2 linked regions of the Schizosaccharomyces pombe genome follow. The protein of the gene in region 2 binds, or shares a complex with, the protein of the main gene of each other region. Each region holds a gene or a part of one and is shown on either strand. Other genes may lie near its edges.

Region 1 (3,389 bases), 280 kb from region 2:
AATCGTAGTGGAGTGCTGGCTTGGAAGAGTTGGAGAACCTTCGACTCGAGACCATTTACCAATCTTGCAATGGCGGGAAAGAATGGAATGTAAAACAACAGCATTGGCAGAAATTTCGCAATCCTCTTGAATAATTGAGTTTCGAATACGTGCGCCATCCTCGATGCGAACACGAGCACCAATTGAAACATTGGGTCCAATCTTTGCACCTTTGCTAACAATAGCATTAGGATGAATAAAAACCGGCTGAATGATCTCAGCCTCAGTGTCGGGTTTTGGAAGAGTACCATCATGATATGCCTTTTGTAAATACAAGGAATTAGCAGGAACAGCAGAGCCAGCGGTTTTTATTTGACGCCAGAACTCAGGAGTATTATAAGCATAAATGGCTTTAGAGGAATCTGAGCACAATGGAGCAAGCACATCGGTCTCCAAACTGAGGTAGTCTTCCATTCCTTCATCCAAGGACCTGAGTTGCTTCTCGACCTCCTCAAGTCTACGCTCGTACGCTTTTTTGATTTCATCGAATATAGAGGCATCAAAGATATAAATACCACATGAAATAATATTTGAAAGATAGGAGCTTGGCTTATCAACATAATGAAGTACACGCCCAGTACTTGGTTCCTCTACAAGGCAACCGAAGTTAGAAGCATCTTCTTTACTAACCTTAGTAGCCATTAAAGTAACTAAAGCTTTCTTCTCGTGATGAACGTTTAACAATTCTTGTAAGGGAAAACTGCAACACACATCCGCATGCATAACAAAAACATTAGAAGTATGTCCTTTAAGGATTTGATCACGGAAATGGTATAAGCCGCCACCAGTTCCTAAGCAGTTGTATTCACGGAGATACTTGATACGATTGAAACTGGGGAAATGCGAAGCTACTTCGTTGATAAAATCTTTGAAAACGCTTTCATCGTAGAAACCAACCAAAAAGACATCTTTAACACTTTCAATCTTGGATAAAGCCGCCAAATGATGGTAAATCATTTCTCGTCCTCCAATTTTAAACAAAGGCTAATTTAGTTAGCAAAATAGCTCTTATGTTTCAAATGCAACTAGAAAGTAAAACTGGATTACGTATTTTACCAACATATAAATTCTAAATAAGACGTACTTTAGGGACATCAAACGAAAGAGGGCGGAATCGGGTACCACTGCAAAGTAATTAGTTACTGATATTCACGCGTTTAATAGACTTATTTTTCGTTGGTACGTACCGAGATGGACCCCCGACCAGAATGACAGCAGAGGAAATCATAATAGCAATTTAATACTAAAAAATCAATAATGAGTATCAAAATCACCAAAAACGAAAGAGATATACGCCTCTTGAAACTTGGTGTGTGGTTCTGTGCAAGTCCTGTCCAGCTCTCCTTTGTTTAATAAGGAAGGTAGCGCTATGAGCTAACTTCTGCCAGTTCATATTTGCACTTAATAGCCTGGCTGCAGAAGATAATACTCTATGTAACAATGAAATACTAATGTAAATCAATTTAGTTCAAAAACCCATGATCTAAAAATTGTGCTGCAGGCTGAGGCACTTTGCCAGCCGTGAGGAACTTAATGCTCATCATCAGCTGTTTTGCAGAAAATAGTAAAGCACCTTCTAGCTTTGGTACAAATTATAATGCATTAAAACTTAAATAAATAAAATTTACTAATTGAATTTTCGAGTAAAAGTAGCCTTTTTAAAAATTTGTTCTCTTTAATCACCTTTATGAATTTACCATCAACTTCACGCACTACGCTGGAAGATTGGACTCTCGTGACAAAGACTTAATTGCTCATGAAGGGGAAATTTAGGTTCTCTTTAAAGCGCGGTGTATGTTATATATGAAATTATTGATTTTTTCGCTTTTATTAATACATATCTAGCTTTTGCGTCCGTCGTGGAACAAATACAATATATACAACATTGCAAGAAAACAACTACCTGCTCTGAATAATAGAACTTTATATCAAAAAAAATGGAATGCGAAGAAGGAAACAAGGTCTTATCATGGTCCTCAATTACGCGAATATCAACTGAAAAATGCCTTCCGCCCAAAATTGGAGGGGGTTATTTCTTCCTTAGATAATAAGCTTCCCATCCCTTTTATGAATCAGACTTATGCATTTTTGGAATCCCGTTTAGACATGTCTATTCATCGAGCGTTATTTGCGTCTAGCGCTTTACAGGCTCGCCAACTGGTGCTTCATGGAAAAGTGCACGTAAACGGAAAACCTGAACGCCGTGCCTATCGTCAACTCTTACCTGGTGATTTAGTAACTGTTGATCAAAAATCAGTAATGAATTGTGTTTCTGCCTCTAGTAACAATACCCCTTCTATACAGGATGGGAAGCAAACTGAACAGGTGTCCTCTAAGGATGGAGAAAATGAAAAAAAAAAGGATAATGATGATGATTTATTTGAACAGACTTCTAATGGAAAGTTGCCCTCTATCAATGAAACAATTTCCAACTTTGTTCCTAAACCGTTTATGTCACTAATGGCATTTATCCCTGCTTATTTAGAAGTTTGCTTCCGCACTTGTTCCTTTGTTTATGTGCGTGATCCAGTTGCTCGTCCTGGCTTAACGGAAGTTCCTTCTCCATTTCCTGAAGACTTGCACGCTTTAGCCTATACATACTATATCAGAAGTCGTAATATGCGGCAAGGAGCAGCTAGATGTCAGGCCAGACGGCTTATTCCGCAGAAAGTACGCGATGCATCATTTTATCAAGGACCTCCTGAATTATATAAAAAACGAAATGTTTCTCCCAAAGAAGCATTCTCTCATCGGTATCCAGTTCGTCAAGGAAAGTTGACGAAACTCGTATAAATCGAATAAATGAACTCCTCTCAAAAGTTTAGTAATAAAATATAAAACATTCTCAATTATGCTTTTTGTAATACTATGTTGATTTCCACTTTTGTTTTCCTGCTCTATGAAGTAACTGCCCTGTCTACTGCTATCCACGTAACCAAATCTTATACACATACAAGAACTGGCACATCTTTTTTCATGTACCAAAAGGAGGCCTTTTATCGTGGACGTAGCTCAACAAGACAATTTAACAATACCCGATCTCCATCTGGACGTTCAGCGTCGCGTTCTTCCAATTTCTCACATCGGTCTAGTAGTCGTGATTCTTTTTCCTCGAATAGATCTTACTCGAGTTCGCTTTCCAGATCTCCAGAAGAACCATTGCGAACAGTACGTTTTCCATGTATAATTAGTTATTTAAGGCATACTAATCGTTTCTAATACGATGCAAAATAGATTCTTGTGGAAAATTTGACGCGTAATGTCACTAAAGAACATATAGCAGAAATATTTGGGATTTATGGACTAATTGATCATATTTTCATGCCAATTTATAAAAAATGTGAGTGAGC
Region 2 (3,758 bases):
TAGGTACTAGAGTAACTGGGTAATTAAGAAGCAAATTCAAAAGACGTTTACAAAGTTTATCGGATTTACAATTTAATACACTGTCGGGAAGCGTTGATTGATATAAGCTTATTAATTTATTTATGCAAATTTTTTAGCACGTGCGTACATAATATAAACCAAACAGAGTTCAATATAAACGGACACCCTTAGGAACATCGTAGGTTTCCAGTAATGCGATACGGCCATAACGAAAATTACAAGAACCAAAATAAGTTAAAATCACTCAAAAAACAAACAATAAAAATTCAATCTTTTTTAAACAAGAATGGTGGGAATAATAAACAAGCTTGTTGACAATATTATTTCCTAGAAAAAGTAATAGGTGTATAGAATCTCTCCATGAACAAAAAGAGGGAGAAAAAAGCGGTTCACTACAATGCAAAATAACGGTTAAAAATATTTAATGATCTTAAAGGCATATCATGATAGCTCAAGGAGAAAGTAGTCCGTGCAATTAATTTCCCTAACTCAAAAACTCAGGATCGTAAGCAGATGAAATAAATGTTAAATATGGATGGATCTTCATAATAGACGATTATCAACAGACGAAAACAATATTAAGAAACAATTCCTTGAAAGAAAAGCTATTGTTTTAAGAAAACCGAAGTGACTCACGGGAGAAATAATCGTTTTACTGTTTTTTATTGTCAATGTCAACTTGTATTATGGTATTAAATACTCCTATTTTCTCGTGTGATATTTGGAATGGTTTTACCGGTTTCATCGACATTAAGAGATCGAATTACGTATCGATTTTTTGTTGAAGTAATTCCTTTGAGAGAAGTAGCAGCTATAACTCCTGAGACACCAAATAAACATTCTTTAGAGTCGGGTGCAAATTTTCCGTAAGTAAATGGTAACGGGACTTTTTTAGTTTGAATAAAGGATACTAAACTTAGGCGCTTCTTTTCAGAATCAGAAAAAGAATCTAAAAGTTTCAATTTGGCGTATAATATACCTGGTGGAAGTGTAGGTCTGGATTTAGGATTTGAGCTTGAGAAAGTGTTGTATTTCTGTAAAAGGTAAGGGGAAATTTGTTCATAATCATTAAGCGGAACAGGGAGCTTAAGGTCGTAAATTCGTTTCAAGGTGCGTACGAATCTGTCACTGCTGATGAAGGCACACTGATGCTCGAATGTGTCAAACTTTTGTATGGAAATATGACGGTTTTTTAGGATCGGTAACTTCCTCTTAGCTCCCCAATCGCCGCGAAATCTTTGGCATTTCTTCGCAGTAATTGCTTGTAGGATGGGAATCTTCGTATCATAGACATCAGGGGAGTTCCTCGGCAAGTCTGGTCTTGCTAAACTAACTGCTCGGGAGCATCTCAACAAATCAGGAAACTTCATTATAATTTTGATTAAAGATATACTTTGTCAGAAACATCCAAATTCTGCCCAATGTAAACCACCACCGAAAAGTAACTGCTGAACGAAAGTGGGTACTTCTAATGAGTCAATATTGTCAATATCAATAGCAATCACTCAGAAAACACACGAATACGACTGTAATTTTTTGATGCCAGCTATTTATATACTTTTGTCGTGCAATCCAGCTTGCGAAGTGTTTTACATCAAGTGTGCACACTCATGAAAAGTATATACGAGATGAAATTCTCTCTATTAATATACAAAATTATGGCCAATGTTACAATAGCTAGTTTGAAGTTATAGAATCGCTTTCGTTAGGAGGTCATGTCGGCATGTTGTGTAGTAAACGTTCACTCTCCTCAAGTAGCAATGTTACTTGACTCGCACACTGTTGGATAGAGAAACAGAGTGCTTTAATTGTTTACACTCGAGTAAACCATGACTGAGTACGATTTTAGCTTGTACTTATTAAATTTAACGGGAATTTTTTTTATAATTATAAATTAGTAATACTAAAGGTATGGCTATCATAAGAAAAGTGAAACTTATAAAGGTTAACTTTCGGTAAATTTGTGTGTTCTTCCTTGTTCATTAATGAGTTTATCTCTACTAAACTAAACTATATGATTTTTCTAGTCTAAGTTTATTTACTGATAATTAATGAGTTGCTTGTCAGATCGTTTGTTGTTTATATTTGTCTATTATATTTGATCTTGAGATTCTGTATATCATGTAACAGATTTTTAAACTTTTTCTTTGACTATTTGTGTGCTTATTAGCTATCTCAAAGGCTTAGGTATATTATTACTTGTTCAATACATTATGATTTGCAATAATGCAATTGTTCCAGTCACTATTCGAGCTTGAAGAATAAATTATACGAGAATGAATACATTGCTTTAATACAATCGCTATTAAAATGTTTCGGTTCATATTCTACTGTAAGCGTATTATTCAACATAGATTACCTGACTACCAATAAAAATTTTGCTTTAACACACCACCAGAGGACAGGCAGGTTCCCTTACTACCCTACCACTTCTGGGTGTCTTTCTATGAACGTAATGGTTTCGTTTAATCAATTACGAAACTATTTTCTAGAAAGCAACAGCTTACGGCCATCGAAATGGCTTTTTCAGTCGTATGGTACTTCAAGTTCTGCGAATATCCTAAATGGAAAATTATTGGCAAGGTAAGATAAAGTTTATATTCTAAATTTTCTCTATGCAGATGAGCGTGCATTTCTGTGTTTGTCTTTGACGATAAAATTTTGGTGGTTTGAAAATTGATTTGCGTACATTGCTTAATTCCGTATATTCTTCAATTTTTTTGTCGATACTTAGAAGTTAAAAAATTGTATTGGGCATTGCAGCACGTTTGAGGTTTCATCAGATTTTTTTGCTCTTAAAACTTTATATTTTTATTTCTCTTTGAGGTTACTAATGTAGCGACTAATTAGAAAATTACAACGTTCTGTTGCTGAAGAAGTGCAGGCCTTGAAAGCTAAGGATCGAAACTTTAAGCCGGCGCTTGCCATTGTACAGGTTGGAAAACGTGAGGATTCTAACGTGTACGTTCGAATGAAAGAAAAGGCGGCACGATTAGTTGGTATTGATTTTAAATACTGCCCGTTTCCTGAAACAATCCAAATGCCTGCCTTGCTTCATGAATTAAAAAAATTGAATGACGATCATACGGTTCACGGTGTCCTTGTCCAACTTCCTCTTCCCAAGCATCTCAATGAGCGTACAGTTACTGAATCTATCACTCCGCCGAAAGACGTTGATGGATTTGGTGCATTTAACATTGGTTTATTGGCAAAGAATGATGCTACCCCCATTCATTATCCCTGTACCCCGAAAGGTATTATGGAGTTATTAAAAGATAACAAGATTTCAGTCGCTGGATTGAACGCTGTAGTTCTGGGAAGAAGTGACATTGTCGGAAATCCAATTAGCTACTTGTTGAGAAAGGACAATGCTACAGTAACTGTCTGTCATTCTAAAACTAAAGATTTAATTCAGCACATTTCTAATGCTGATTTGGTTATAGCAGCATTAGGCAAACCCGAATTTGTTCGTGGTGAATGGTTGAAACCAGGATCTGTTGTGGTAGATGTTGGCATAAACGCTGTTCAAAGAAATGGAAAACGCGTTTTGGTTGGCGATGTGCATTTCGAATCTGCATCCAAAGTTGCTAGCAGCATTACTCCTGTCCCTGGAGGCGTCGGACCGATGACTGTTGCTATGCTAATGGAAAATATTGTAAACGCTGCCAAGATAGCTAGAACAGAAAACATTTATCGAAAAATTGACTTAAATCCTTTAGAGTTAAAGAAGCCTGTTC

Evidence for each region.
Region 1: mug178 (region 2) and nam9 share a complex: the UniProt entries of both Schizosaccharomyces pombe proteins name them as parts of the mitochondrial small ribosomal subunit.

Annotation. Positions count from the first base shown.
Region 1 is NC_003423.3:3,727,695-3,731,083, reverse strand, and holds nam9 (mitochondrial 37S ribosomal protein uS4m), read left to right. Parts: upstream 1-1,734; 5' UTR 1,735-1,795; coding exon 1,796-1,831; intron 1,832-1,884; coding exon 1,885-2,832; 3' UTR 2,833-2,889; downstream 2,890-3,389. Other genes in the region: mpg2 (mannose-1-phosphate guanyltransferase), read right to left, coding at 1-1,023, 1,124-1,163, 1,227-1,267; rns1 (putative RNA-binding protein), read left to right, coding at 3,016-3,207, 3,274-3,379. UniProt on the Schizosaccharomyces pombe protein: Component of the mitochondrial ribosome (mitoribosome), a dedicated translation machinery responsible for the synthesis of mitochondrial genome-encoded proteins, including at least some of the essential transmembrane subunits of the mitochondrial respiratory chain.
Region 2 is NC_003423.3:3,446,500-3,450,257, forward strand, and holds mug178 (mitochondrial 37S ribosomal protein bS1m), read right to left. Parts: upstream 1,726-3,758; 5' UTR 1,392-1,725; coding exon 714-1,391; 3' UTR 17-713; downstream 1-16. Other genes in the region: ade9 (trifunctional formate-tetrahydrofolate ligase/methenyltetrahydrofolate cyclohydrolase/methylenetetrahydrofolate dehydrogenase), read left to right, coding at 2,468-2,604, 2,872-3,758. UniProt on the Schizosaccharomyces pombe protein: Component of the mitochondrial ribosome (mitoribosome), a dedicated translation machinery responsible for the synthesis of mitochondrial genome-encoded proteins, including at least some of the essential transmembrane subunits of the mitochondrial respiratory chain.